Linked DNA regions of Diceros bicornis minor. The protein of the gene in region 1 interacts with the protein of each later gene in a pairwise test. Links are inferred from orthologs where the notes say so. Each region holds a gene or a part of one and is shown in the gene's direction. Other genes may lie near its edges.

Evidence for each region. The genes of interacting proteins can lie anywhere in the genome.
Region 2: the proteins of UBE2D4 (region 1) and E3 ubiquitin-protein ligase RNF4-like interact in a two-hybrid assay, tested with the Homo sapiens proteins (2 studies listed by BioGRID and IntAct). The link is inferred for Diceros bicornis minor from reciprocal best matches to the Homo sapiens genes UBE2D4 and RNF4.

What each region holds. Positions count from the first base shown.
Region 1 is NC_080780.1:1,119,261-1,127,305, forward strand, and holds the start of UBE2D4 (ubiquitin-conjugating enzyme E2 D4), read left to right. Parts: upstream 1-4,965; 5' UTR 4,966-5,058; coding exon 5,059-5,082; exon of another isoform or gene 5,083-5,190; intron 5,191-8,045. UniProt on the Homo sapiens protein: Accepts ubiquitin from the E1 complex and catalyzes its covalent attachment to other proteins. In vitro able to promote polyubiquitination using all 7 ubiquitin Lys residues, but may prefer 'Lys-11' and 'Lys-48'-linked polyubiquitination.
Region 2 is NC_080744.1:41,883,353-41,890,513, forward strand, and holds the start of E3 ubiquitin-protein ligase RNF4-like, read left to right. Parts: upstream 1-4,064; 5' UTR 4,065-4,259; intron 4,260-6,637; 5' UTR 6,638-6,900; coding exon 6,901-7,161. UniProt on the Homo sapiens protein: E3 ubiquitin-protein ligase which binds polysumoylated chains covalently attached to proteins and mediates 'Lys-6'-, 'Lys-11'-, 'Lys-48'- and 'Lys-63'-linked polyubiquitination of those substrates and their subsequent targeting to the proteasome for degradation.

The sequences.
Region 1 (8,045 bases):
CTGTACAAACATCGAGTGTACTTACACAAAGCTAGATGGTTTAGCCTACTATACATCTCGGCTATAAGGTACTAATCTTATGGGACCACCATCATACATGCAGTCCGTCATTGATCGAAACGTTGTTATGCAGCACATGACTCTAAGGTTAAATGAGGTCATAAGGGTGGGGCCCTGATCCAATAGGACTAGTGTCCTTATAAGAAAAGACATCAGAGAGCTAACCCTCTCCCTCCACCCCCATGACCTGTGTTCACGCACCAAGAAAGACCATGTGAAGATATAGTGAGGAAGCCATCTAGAAACCAGGAACAGAGCTGTCATCAGAAACCAAGTCAGCCAGAACCTTGATCTAGGACTTCTAACCTCCAGAGCTGTGAGAAAATAAATTTATGTTGTTTAAGACACCTGGCCTATGGTATTTTTTATGGTTGTTCTAGCAAACTAATACAAGTTCTTTTGGCTCAAAGTTTTTCATGGGATTGCACTTAAGCTGTGAGCCAGGATCATCTTAAGGCCTGAATGGGGAAGGATCAACTTTCAAGCTCGTTTACATGGAGTTGGCAGGATTCAGTTCCTTGTGGGGTGTTGGACTGAGGGGCTTCATTTTCACTAGCTGTTGCCAGGAGGCCTCTCTCAGTTCCTTGGCACAGGGGCCTCTCCATAGGGAAGCTCACAATATAGCAGCTGGCTTCCATCAGAGTGAGAGAGAGAGAGAGAGAGGGAGTAAGGGAGCGAGGCAGCAAAAAAATGAGAGGGCCAGAGAGGTTGCCCAAGATAGAAGCCAGTCTTTTTCTTACCCTAATCTCAAAAGTGACATCCCATCACCTTTTCTATTAATTAGAAACATCACTAGGGGCTGGCCCAGTGGTGTAGTGGTTAAGTTCGTGCATTCTGCTTTGGTGGCCTGGGGTTCACAGGTTCAAATCCTGGGCGCAGACCAACACACCACTCGTCGAGCCATGCTGTGGTGGCATCCCACATACAAAATAGAGGAAGATAGGCACAGATGTTAGCTCAGAACCAATCTTCCTCAGCAAAAAGAGGAAGACTGGCAACAGATGTTAGCTCAAGGCCAATCTTCCTCACACACACACACAAAAATATCATTAAATCCAGCCCACACTAAAGGAGAGGAGATTACAAAAGGGCTTGAATACTAGGAGGTGGGGATTGTTGGGGGTCATCTTAGAGGCTCCCTACAATAAGCTCTCAATAGCCAAATCTAGGACACCTTGAGCAACATATAAATAACAATACTAATGGATTAAAACTGATAGAATAAAAATCCATGAGTCCACACTGATATAAACAAAATACTTGAATAAATAAACGAGGGAGAAAAGACAGCGCTTCCTTACAGTAGAATTCCAATTAATAAATGTAGAAAGAAAACTAGAAACAGAAAATTAACATTTGGTAAACACCACAGTAATAACTGCCGTAGGCAAGAAGGGAATCTAAAATTACCGCATGAAAGTAAGATTGAAAAAACAAATAAGGTATTCACATAGCCTCAAAGTTTCTCCCAAGCTACTATTAATTTAAAAAGAAAAATTTTTATCTTTACAGTGGAGAAATATGACAAATATCAACTTAAAGTGATCAGACTTTACCAGTAACAAGACTTACCAATGTCATGTACCTCCTGGTACGACGCACTGAGGGCAGAACATCACTCTGTAACAGTCTTGCCAAAAATGCATAACCTTAATCTCATCAATCAGAAAACCCAAACTGAAGGATAGTCTACAAAATAACTTGCCCATACTCTTGAAAAGTGTCAAGGTCATCAAAGACAAAGAAAGACTAAAGAATTGTCTAAGATTGCAGGATGCTAAGGTGACAAGACAAGCAAATGCAACATGGGATCCTAAATCGGATCCTGGATCAGAAAAAGGCTGTTAGCTGGACAATTAGCAAAATTTAAGTAAAGTCTGTAAATTAGTTAATAGTATTGTATACACGTTAATTTTCTGGATTAGATAATTGCATTACAGTTATGTAATATGCTAATATTAGGGGAAGCTGGGTGAAGCGTATACAAGAACTGTGTATTGTTGTTATTATATTTTAAACAGCTTTACAGACATAAAATTTACCCATTAGTAATCACTCCCTATTCCCCACCCTCCCTTAGCCTTAGGCAATCACTAATCTACTTTCTGTCTCTGTAGAGTTGCCTATTCTGGACATTTCATATCAATGGAATCACACAATATGTGGTCTTCTGCGACTGGCTTCTTTCATTTAGCATGTTTTCAAGGTTCACATGTTGAATTGTGTCCCCCCAAAATATGCTAAAGTCCTAATCCCCAGTACCTGTGTACGTGACTTTATTTGAAATTCGGGTCTTTGCAGACGTCAAGTTAAGATGAGGTCATTAGGGTGGGCCCTAATCCACTATGATTGAGTCCTCATAAAAAGGGGAAATTTGGACACAGAAACAGACACACATACAAGGAAGACAATGTCAAGACACAAGGAGAACACCATCTGTAAGCCAAGGAATGCCTGAGGCTACCAGAAACTAGAAGAGAGAGGTGGAAAAAAGATCCTCCCTCACAGCCCTCAGAAGGAACCAACCCTACCAATACCTTGATTTCAGACATCTAGCCTCCAAAACTGTGAGACAATAAATTTCTATTAAGCCACCCAGTTTGTAGTACTTCGTTACATCAACCACAGCAATCTAATATACCCATGTTGTAGCATATATCAGTACTTCATTCTTTTTATTGCCAAAATATTCCATTTTGTGGATATATCATATTTTGTTTATCCATTAAACATTTGGGTTGTTTTGACCTTTTGGCTATTATCAATCACACTGCTATAAACATTTGTGTACAAGTTCCTGTGTGGACATGTTTTAATCTCTCTTGGGTATAAACCTAAGAAAGGAATTGCAAGGTCATATAACTTTAACTTTTTAAGGAACTGCCAAACTGTTTTCCAAAGTGGCTGCACCATTTTACATTCCCACCAGTAAAGTGTGCAAGTTCCAAATTCTCCACATCTTCACCAACACCTGTTATTGGCTGTCCTTTTGATTATAGCTATCCTAGAGGGTGTGAAGCGGTATCTCATTGAGTCTTTGATTTGCATTTCCCTAATAACTAACAACATTGAGCTTCTTTGTTTTACGTGCTTATCGGCCATTTCTATATCTTTGAAGAAATTCCTATTCAAATCCTTTGTTCAGTTTTTAATTAGTTTGTCTTTTTTATTGAGTTGCAGGAGTTCTTTATATGTTCTGGACCCTTATCAAATACATGATTTGCAAATATTTTCTCCCATTCTGTGGGTTGTCTTTTTGCTTTCTTGATGGTGCTGTTTGAAGCACAAAAGTGTTAAATTTTTATGAAGTCCAATTTATCAATTGTTAAATCTTTTATTATATTTGCGATACTTCTGTACATCTAAAACTACTTCAAAATAAAAAACTATGTATAAAAGTTTATGTAAAAAGCTTAGAAGACTATGTGCTAAACTACCAACAGGAAGCAGAAATGGAATTTTTCATTTGCTATTCAACACAATTCCGTTTCTTTTCTTTTTCCTGGATTTCTTTTCCGGATTATACAAGTGAGCAGATTCTCTGTGGAAATTTTGGAAATTAACATCATTAGTAAAGTCACCATCCAGAGATAACCATTGTTGTCACTTAAGTTTATATTCTTACACAAATAAACATTTATAAAAATTTGGGATCATTTGTTCTATGAGGGGAGAGCCACGTAAACAATTCCGGGATGGACGACTCACTGACTAACAGGAACACCAAAAAAAGGTGCTCCACCAGGGGCATTCAGGGGGGTGATGCCTTAGCTCGCCTTGCAAGGTGAGGGATGGCTCTGCTTTGGTGGAAGGAAAGAGGGAGCCTTCCAGACAGAGGACAGCCACGAGTAAAGGAACGTAATGGGAGCATGATGGAAACCCTTCATAGTAAGCCAGCTGGACCATACTGGATTTTGAAGAGCCTTATGCGACAGGATGTAATCCTTGTAGGCCGTGGGGCATCCTTGTCGAGTTTTGGGCAAGGGACACGGCTAGGGACCGTGGAAACGTCTATAATACATTTTATATTCTGACTGAGTACACACACACAGGTGACCATATGTTGGCCAGAGACAACCCCAGATTACACCTTTGGGCCTAGAGTAACTATACTGCACTTCCCTTTCACTCCCAAAAATGCATGATTTTGGAGGATGCGTGTTATCATCTACACACATACACACAACGGAACTTGCACACTTCCCACCTTTACTACGTGAGATGCACTAATATTCTGTATTCTGTATTATTCCAGTTTTTAAATGTTGGCTGCAACCCGTTAAACTGATTTCGTGACACACTAATTGTTCCTAATCCACAGTTTGAAAAACTCTGACCTAGATGCCTGCCAGGTCTTGGGAAAAAGGGAAGGAGACAGAGAATCAAGTTTGGATGTGCAGTGTAAGGCCGTGGTTCTCAGCCTAGGCAGCGCCATAAAATCACCCGAAGCATTACTGAAAACGCACACCTCCAAGCCCACTGCATTTAAAACTTTGTTATGTGTATTTCTACGGAAAGAGCTGTGACATATTTGACACGTAACACGTAAAAGGGTATGAATACTTACAGACTTAAGTTCAAAGCAGAGCTGAGAACCACTATTTTCAGGAGTATGCGACAGCCTGGGAGGGAGCCCAGGAGGCAAGGACAGGGAGCACGGCCGCCGGCCCCTCCCAGGTGCTCGGCGAGTCACTGTTAAACCAACGAGTGTCCCTCTCTCCGCCGGCCTCCCCAGACCCTCGCTGACCCGGGGGCTGGGCCGCGGCGGGCGCCACACAGCAAGCGACAGACGACGCGGCCGCTCCCGCTCGCCAGGCCCACTCCGCCCGCCCGCTCCGGTACGCGCCAACCGCGGGACGCCGGCCCCACAGTGCCCCGCGGCGCGCACGCGCAGGCGGCCGTTCCCGGCTTGCAGCGCTGCGCCGCGGCCGAGCCGGCAGCGGGCAGCCTCTGGCAGCCCGGGGCCGAGCCGCCCCCGTCTCCAGCAGCTGGGGTAGGATGGCGCTGAAGCGGATCCAGAAGGTAAGGGGCCCTCCCCCGCTAGGGCTTCTTGCGAGTCCGAAGCGTGGGGGTCTGAAGCCTCGATTCGCGGGCGGGGGCGCCGTGGCTCCCAAGTGAACAGCGGCTGAGGTGGGCAGACCACGGCGACACCTGCCGGGGGGGGGGGGGGGGGGGGGGGGGCGGAACTGCCGCCGGCGCCGCCTTAAAAGGGCACGGCGCGGCGCGCGAGGCGGGGCCAGCGTCACGTGGGGCGGTGGGGCGGGGTTGGAGGGGCGTGCCCGGAGTCACGTGGGGATTGCGTCAGGCTGGCAGGTTGGCTGGTGGGCTAGGCGGGGCGGCAGGGGGAGTTGACGGTGGTGCCTGCTGCGATGTTCAGACTCAGGGCTCTGTCGTTGCCTGTCCCGGGCCACGAGAAGGCGCCGGTTGTCTGAGGAATGAGGGCTCGCCCTTGTAAAAGTGTCGGGAGGGCTGGGCGGGGGAGTCGTGGTTGGAGCTGGGTCCTAAGGAATGAGTTGGAACTCTGCAACTGGAGAAAAGGGACAAGGGCGTTCTCGGCCACAGGAAGACCGCGTGGCTTGGCTTGGGGCCCAATGAAGATGACCGGAGCAGGATGCTGAAGCAGGGGATGGGAGTGGGTTAATGGGCCTGGACTGGGTCTTAGGGCCAGTGCTGGCATAACTGTTTTTTTATCTTGTAGGTAACTGGGAGTCGTTATAGGCGATTAATATATTGTCAAACTAAAAAGCAAATTCCTGTTATTTTATCCTCAAAACGAATTTATTCCAGAATACCCAAAAGAAATGCAATTCAGAATGTACATGCTATGGCAAACCATAGGCAAATCCGGAAAACTTTTTTAAAAGAGGGTTGCTGCTTTTATAGAGAGAAAGAGGTGGGGGAGGGTGCTGTTCTAAGTGAAAGTGCATTGGGGGAAGGTAACATTTCAGGGAAGCTGTGGCTTCTCATTGGCTGAGCTTGTCATTTCTCATTGGCTGGGCTGTTGCTAGGTTGAGAGAGAAATCTTCCTTCAGTAGTAAAGTAGTTTTACTTCCTGTCCAAGATGCACGCAGGTCTCTTCCTGTTTGGTGCATGATGCGGTGTGAGAGCTCCCCATACAGGGCTTTGCAACTGTGATTTAGTTATGATTTCTTTTATTAATTTCCATGATATTAACTAGAATTTGGAAAATGCACAGTAGTAGAAGAAAGAAAACATATTCCCAATTCTACCACCTTACCATTTGTTGACATCCTAGCATATCTACTACCAGTCTTTTTCCTATACTTTAAAGAAAATAATCATACTGTATTTTGTATCCCACTTTTATCACATAGCCTTAAACGTGAGCATTTTCCATGTTGTGAAACAGTATTCATAGTCATAATTTTTAACACTAACTTTCTGTAAGAAAGTGACCAGTAACTTAATCAGTACCTGTAGCGAGTAAACACATGGACATGGGTGTTGAGGGACCTGGGGTAGAGAATGAGGTCACCTGTGGTAGGACCACAGGCAAGGCACTTAATCATTCCCAGCCTCTGTGTCCTATATAGAGTTGTTTTAAGACTTAAATGAGATGATACATGTTTAACACATGCTTGGTATATATCAAGCACTAAATATGAGTTAACTGCCATTGATATTCTAAATTCTTCATAAGAGTGCTGTGATGAGCATTATTGCACAGTAGGCTTAGATTTGATTACCAGAGATGGAATTACAGGATCTCTAAGGGTGTGACTCATTTTTTATAATTAGCTCTCCAAAAAGGAATTTTTTTGGCAAATTATTCTCTAAAGGGGTCATCTGTCATCCTAGGACTTTGAACCGGGTGAATCACATGCTCAGATCTGTGTTATAACAAGATCCTTCTGGCGGTGATGTGGCCTGGAGTGGGCCAGAGACTCGTGCAGAGGGAGAGTAGAGGTTATTGTGAAAGTCCAGCAAAGGCTTTGCCCAGATTAATGACTGTGGAATGGATACCAAGGCAAGGGCAGTACTTGAGTGACATGGCAGAGGTAGAATTGACAGGACTTGAAGAAGAGTATGTGGTGTATCCATCCACAAGATGGATAACTGGGTAGATGGTGGTGTCATTGCCTAAGATGAGGAATCAGAAGTTTTGAGGACAGGGAGCAGGGTTGGGGAGATAAGGAGTGTAGGTTTGAACCTAGATGTTTGAACACATAGCCTGATCATATTTATAAAAGGGAAAACTAGGAGAAACAAGTTAGGACCTTGAGGCTGAGATGGCAGCCATAGATATAAGGTAATTGAAGTCAGAAGGCTAGGGAGAACTTGCCTTGACAGGAATCAATAAAGGAGGAAACCAGAGCTGGCTTCCTGGGTATGTGACCTATATTGTCTCACAGGGCCCTTTGCTGTGAAGAGCCCTGTCCCTGGGTTAGTGCTCTGCAGTCACCATGTTGAAATTCAATAATTATTGAAGAAGAGACCCTGTATTTTCATTTTGCATGAGGACTCTGAAAATTATGTAGCAAGTCCTGGAAGAAACAATGCAATGGTAGGAAATGTCTTGAAAAATGTGTCCAGTGCACAGTGGTGAGAAGGCAACACTGGGACAAGTTAGGAAGCCTTGGCTGGAAGTGACAGAGGCCCAGCTGCCCTGGCTACAGAATTGGAGGTCCACAGGACTTTGGGAGTGACTTTGGGGCTCCTGCTCTGTTTCCATGAGATTCTCTGGACTGAGCAGCTCTGGGCCCCATAGCCCACTGGGCATCCCCTAAGAAGAAGAGAGACGCTGGCTTCCAGAAGTTCTCCGAGAGCCAAGAAAATCTTTTTTTTTTCCTTTATTTACTTGTTATGAATTAAGTTACATGCTCATTCTTGAACCAGTGAGTGCCAAGACTGCTTTTAGAATGTCTGGCTACTGCTAGACCTGGAGCTGAGGGTGAGTCTGTGTCTCCTAAGAGACCAGAACTGAACAGGAGCTCTGCAGGAAGGAGGAAGGGGGTGGTGCCAGC
Region 2 (7,161 bases), on another chromosome or scaffold:
TATTTTTAAAATTTAATCTTTATTAAATAGTTCTCTTTGCATTTCCTTATAATTCCTCTTTTAGAAGAATTTAGAAATGTCCAAGAAACTAGAGAAAGACAGCATATAATTTGATGCAGGTTCTAGAACTGCAAGGACAGCCTGAGAGGACCCCATGTCTTAACTGACCAAAGGAAGTGATAGTGAGAAAAAGCTGTAAGGTAGGAGCCATGGCTTAAGACAATTCACCAAGGTAAAGGGGAAAAAACACGTCTGGAAGAGAAAGTCCAAAGTAATACTGAAATGCCAGTTAGAATTCAGCAGTTTTAACCTAGAACTGCTCTGTTGAACCAAGGACCTATAAGGAAACATCGAGCTGAGACTGTGACTGTATATTAGCGGTTTGTGTGCAATATTCCTCAAGAATGGTGCTCAGATCTTGGCAGCCGTGGCACTTATCCTGCTCATCCCCCTTGTCAGAGTTTGCCTCTCAGGCACTCCTCACTGAGGTGCTACCATTTTTATACATTTTTAAACAAACTATATTAGCCTTTTTATCTTTTTTTTTTCTCAATCCCTCTAAGCAGATACACCCACAGGAAAAGTTCCAGAAATATACACAACAACTTCTTAACAATGTTTAGCTAGGGGCAGGGGCTAGGATGGCAGGAGAAAGATGAAGGCAGACTTTTTAAATATTATTCTACATACTTCTATATGATGTGAATTTTTACAACTTTTATTATTTGAGTATAGCTCATTATTTTTAAAAATAGAAAGTTTATACAGGCAGAAAGGAAAAAAAAACCTTGTTAATCCCACCACCCAGATATGACCATTTATCAGTGTTCATTTTGGTATGGTTAGCTTTTCAGGAGATTTTTATTTTTTGTTCTATCTTTTAAAAAATTTTCATTGTTATTATTATTATTATATTTATTTAAAAATTTTTTTAAATAATAATTTTTATATCTCACTTTTTTTTCACTATCCCTAATGAAAACATGGCATAAATGGAAACAATACAGAGAACTGGCAAATGTTTTCTCTAGTTTTTGTCAACAACCACACTTCAAATACCTTTGGGCTGTTGCTTTTTACTTGTATTTCTTGTATTGTAAACTCTTGAGGCAAAATTCAAGGTCTTTCTTTAATAAAATAAACATCTTGTCTGTGATGGAGCCATTAAGGTTTTAGGGGCAAAAATTACATATCTCTCCTCGGACTCTAGGCTTTTCAGAAAAAACTGAAGACTAACATCTGGGTCCTAGATATCTTTAAAGAAGTAAATTATCTGTGAGTACTTTGATTAGAAACTTTATGCATTAAAAACTATTCTGATAATTTGGAGAGCTATAAGAAGGGCTGATCGAAAAAACCCCCACTAGTAAATATAATTAAAAATAATAGTTTGATCATGTATTAAACACTTACTACGCGCTAAGTCTCTGAATCTAAGGAGATATCTATATTTCTGTAGCACACAGGCTCAACTGAAAACCGCACTGATGTGTAGCTTCCCCTCCCCAACAGGCCACTTCCTCTTTTTACTGTTTTCACGTAGAAAAAACAGAGAGGCCTCTTGCTGCCACACGATGCTGTAGTGTGGTCTGAAGTGGTTTTCTAGGTATCCTTAGCTGTTTGCAAGTGTGCATGCCATTTTCATCATCTGAAGAGTCAGTGAGGGTCTTAGGTTGAGTTCTTGCAGAAGCAGCCGCTGAACCAAGGATTTGCAAGTGACATTAAGAAAGGGCTTCCAGGAGAAACCAATGAGGGAGTCAGGGATGAAGGATAGGGAATGGGAAGAAGCCAAGTGGTTGTGTGATTTGCTGTCTGGCACTCCGCCTATTCCCACAGGAGCTCTAGAAAAAAGGAACACGCCTCAGAGTTTGTCCTGCCTTGAAGCAAAGGAGCTGGGCTTTGGTGCTCCACATCAGCTTGTCTTTGGCTACAGGCTGCCCAGGAGTGTGAAGTGGGGTGAAACATAAAACTCCCAGGTACTTCCAGCTCACTCCAGTGCCTGAGGGTAATCTCCAGGGCTAGGAGTACTATGCAAGTGCTAACTGTTAGTAGCAAAATATGAAAAAGCTGGGGATGGGCTCATCAAGTCTGGGTGGGGCATCAGTCTGCTACTGTGAATTTCCTGTTAACTTCCTCTGCTGGGCCCATAACACATGCTGTCTCAAACTTCCATTAAAATTTCAAAGTTTCGGGGCGGCCCGGTGGCGTAGCGGGTGGGTTCGCGCATTCTGCTTCGGCAGCTGGCGGCCTGGGGTTCGCTGGTTCAGATCCTGGGCACGGACTTACTTACGGCTCATCAAGCCATGCTGAGGTGGCATCCCACATAGAACAGCTACAACTCTACAACTGTGATATACAACTATGTACTAGGGCTTTGGGGAGAAAAAAAGAAAAAGAAGATTGGCAACAGACGTTAGCAGAATTCAGACCCAAGTTTGAATCCTAATTCCACAAAAGGAATGGGAAAAGTCATATTACTGTCTAAGTTTGAATCCTAACTCCATGAAAAAACTGGAAAAGTCATATTACTGGCTTGACTTTTTGTCACTACATCCATAAAACGGGATAATTATTCCTACCTCATAAAGTTTTTCATTTATTCGCTCAATAAATATGGAGTGTCTACTCTGTGCCACATACTGTTCGGGGGTCATTCTGAGAAGGGGATGGTGGTAAGAAGAGCTCTGTAAAATGTAAAGCTCTAGGCAACTGCTTTTACTCCCAGTGGTTATTTATTTTCACAGCTCACAAGAATAAATAAAATTGCCTAAAACCAAAGCAAGGAGATACAAGGAAAACTTCTTGGCACTGAGCTGGTGAAAAAAAGAAACAATGTAAGAATTCCTTTCCCTAAAGGGCTGCAGGTAAAAGACGTTCCCCTCACTCTGGACAGTTCCTCCCAAGGTAAATCTGCAGGCAGAGCTCGCTTCTGACAGTCTCAGGATTTGCTCAGAGAATTCACAAAAGTCTAATTGCATTTTCAGGAGCTTCTAGCCCTGCTTCTGTCACAGTTCATCATCTTTCAAATCTCTTAACCTTTCCCAGCCTCAGTTTCCTTACCTGTAAAATGAAGGGTTCTCAGCCACTAACTGGTGATGGCACAGTAAGCAGGTCACTTGTGTACTGAAGCCTTAGCTGCTAGATTTCTAGGACAGGGAGTCAGAACTCAAGTTCAGGCCTGGTAGACTGAGGTGGGCATGGTTCCTAGGACTCCAGTGTATATTAGAGGTTTCAACTCCAAACAGATCCAACATCTCCTCCACCCCTTTTTTCTGCAACACCTCCTTTTTATAACAACCTTTGCTTCTGGTGCCTCTTTTACTAATTTGATTATGAAAGCTAAGCAATTTAGTATGTGAATGCTCTAGCCTGGCTGTACTGGCTGAGGTAAAGAAGTGCCACATGCTTGCAACTGACCTAGGATCTTTGTGAACTATGACATTGAAGACTGAGAGTTGCACTATACTGATGGCTCAGATTCAGATATGGTATTGCTGGCTGTGGTGTGATTCTCTGAAATGGTGAAAATCTCTAGGTAAAATTCCAAAAACAAACCAAAAATACATTTTCTTTTGAGTTGCCTGCTAGTTCCATTCCTGGAAAATTCAGTGTATATGGGCCTGTTATAGTAAATGGTCAATAAGTATTCAAGGAATAAATTAACTGAAAAATAGGACATGTTTTTACACGTGATTGTAAAGCCCAGATTATAAGCAGGTTTTTCACAGATTGGGGGGTGGGGGTGGTGGGGGAGAGTCTGTGTGTGTCTGCGTGTAGGCTGGGGCCCCTGGCCCTCAGCCCCTAAATACCTGTAGTCACTCCATTGTTGGAACAACCAAAAATAACCCTATTAATTTTCAAAATTTAAAGAGAGGCGAACTGTCTCCGTTGAGAACCACTTTTATTTAGAGAGTGAGGAGTTGCTGATCTAATGACCAGGAGGAAAAAAAAAACAAAATACAACAACATCGCCCTTGCCCTTTCTCGGAAAACATGAGACTGGAGAAAAAGGAAACTAAGGATGGGAAAGTCCCCTTTTCTAACCTGGAACAGCGCTTTCTGCCCAGAGACTGGTGACGAGCCACCATGGGCTCGGGTTTTGATTGGGCAGTTGAGAAACTAAAATAGCAGATTAAAAGGAGGGGAAAACCCCCGTGCTTTCTACCGTGGGGTCGGTGGGCAAACGCACCGTGACTCCCGCTTCGTGACCTTGGCTCTGTTCTTCGCTGCGCGCCGCCGCCAACCTGGGCGCGTTCACGGTGAGTACCTCCTCCCGCGACGCCCCCTCCTTCTGCCTCTCCCTCTCTATCCACAGGCTCTCCCTGACCCTGCAGCACCTCGTTCCTCCTTCCTGGCCCAGTGTAGCCAGGCACCCGGGTTCAGCTTGCTAAGGCTCCATGCGGACCGGACCGGACCGCGAAGCAGAGGAGAGGCCGGAAAGTGGCGCGCCGCTGGAACGCACGCTTCCTGCTCTATTCTCGCTGGACAGCTACCTTGGCAAGGACTAGCCTGGACAGGACAAAATATCTAGGCCGTTGATGAGCTGCAGGGTGCATGGGTGGGGTCGCAGGTGGTGGGCACTGCTTTCTGGGGCTGCCCGGTCTCGTCCCCAGGGTTCTCTTTCCCTGGGCGCAGAGCGAAGAAGGAGGGGCAGGCTGGTCACGAAAGGCAAATACTTGAGGCTGGTGATCCAGTGAGAGGCAGGTGTGTCTGTGGGGTCCAAGAGAAGTATTGCTTCATAAGTAAATCGGCACGTCCAGTGGAGCGCTGAGCGCCGCGCCCTCCTATGCTTCCGCTGATTTTCTTCTAGGGCTCCACACTTCTCTACCAGGTTCTAGGGCTTGTGTCTAGATGGTCTTACACTGTTTTGCGTAACGTTTCTATGGCAGCTTGTGTGTTTATTTGTTTTGGTGAAAGCTTTATTGAGATATAAACCATACAATTCACCTATTTAAAGTGTACAATTCAGTGGGGTTTAGTGTATTCACAGAATTGTGCAACCATCACCTCAATTTTAGAACATTTTCATCACTCTTCAAAGAAACCCTGTACCCATTAGCAGTCACTCCTCATTTCTCCCCAATCCCCAACCCTAAGGAACCACTAATTTTTCTGTCTCTATTGATTTGCCTGTTCTTGACATTTCATATAAATGGAATCATACAATATGTGGTGTTTTGTGATCGGCTGCTGTCACTTAATATGATGTTTTCAAAGATCATCCATATTGTACCAAGTGTCAGCACTTTATTCCTTTTTACTGCTGAATAATACTCCATTGGGCCAGCCTGGTGGCATAGTGGTGAAGTTCGCACGCCCTGCTTCGGTGGCCCAGGGTTCGCAGGTTCAGATCTGGGGTGTGCTTGGACACACTGCTTGTCAAGCCATGCTGCGGTGGCATCCCATGTAAAGTAGAGGAGGATGGGCATGGATGTTAGCCCAGGGCCAATCTTCCTCAGCAAAAGGAGGAGGATTGGCACCGGATGTTAGCTCAGGGCTAACTTTCCTCTCTCTCTCTCTCTCTCTCTCACACACACACACACACACAAATAATAATAATAATAATAATACTCCATTGTATGGATTATACCACATTTTGTTTATCCATTCAGCAATTAATGGGCATTTGGGCTGTTTCCACTTTTTGGTTATTATGAATAATACTCTTATCAACATTCATGTACAAATTTTCAGTTGTGGACATAAGTTTTCAGTTCTCTTGGGTATATACCTAGGAGTGGCCTTCCTGGGTTATATGGTAACTATATATTTAACCTTTTGAAAAACTGCCAGACTGGTTTCCTAAGCTGCCACACCATTTTACTTGCCCACCAGCAGTGCATGAGAATCCCAAAATTCTACATCCTTGCCAACACTTGTTATTATCTATCTTCCTATTATAGCCATCCTACTGGGTGTGAAATGATATCTCATTATGGCTTTGATTTGCATTTCTTTAATGATGACCAATGATTTTAAAATTATTTAAAATATATCTGAATTACAAAATAATTTTTAAAAAGGATTTACATGCTGAGGTTTTGAGAACTTTAACTGTCTAGGTCACATGCCCCCAAGTCAGAGTCTAGACTCAAACCAAGTCTGTCTGTGGCGAGTGCTTGAACTCTATCCCCTCTTTCCTAGAACAGAATCTGGGATAAAACTCTTCAAAACTCCACTTGCTGCCTCTGTTAGAAAGGGAATCTTGGGCAAGATGAACCTCCGTGTAGACTAAATGATTCATTTCTTATTTGTTATTAGAAACTCAAATGTGCAAATAGCTTTTTGGTCTCTCCATTTTCACTTTGTAAAAAATAAGTGTTTCCTTGAGATCCTCATAATGGATCTTGGATGAAGTAGTGACCTTTTCTTGGTGTTTAATGATTTTGTGCTTCTCTTCATGTAACTGCCCCTTGGGTTTCTCCTTCACCCCACTACCATCAGGACATGAAATGAGGAGGGGCACAAAGTATAAATTTTGTTTAAATGCATAACTATCAGAAATTTTGAGTACACAATTTTATATATAAATATATATTTTTATATATTATTTTTCTATATATCTATACATTTTATATTACTATCAATCTTATTTTTAAATATTACTAAGGCTTAATTTTTCTCTCATTTTTTTCAGTTAAAAATTCAGATTGAGCTGTCTCATAAGTGGCTCCAAGAAGACTCAACCCCCAACCTTGCAGGAACATAGCAGTTGTGGAGGTGGAGACAGGACTGAAATCAGAATCAGAGTTCAAATATACTGGAAAATCTGGGCTCTAAATTCTTATGTAAGTCAGAGAGTGACTGACCAACAGCTGAGAGACATTGAGGGCTTTAACATTCACTGTAAACTTTGGTACAGGTCATTTATTTCTTTGAAGACTGGATCCAAAAAGCACAATGAATACAAGAATGGGCTATGGTAGTATGGTGAATTCCAGACAAGCCCGAGAATTCCATACAGCTGGAGAAGGAGGCCCATCTCCTGAGATTGTCTTGGAAGCAGAATTGATAGAACTTGAGGAAAGTGATGAAGTAGTTGACCTCACCTGTGAATCTCTAGAACCTGCAGTGATTGACCTAACTCAACATGACTGTGTTGTGATTACTGAAGAAAGGAGGAGGCCAAGGAGAAACACAAGGTCACTCCAAGGCCAAACT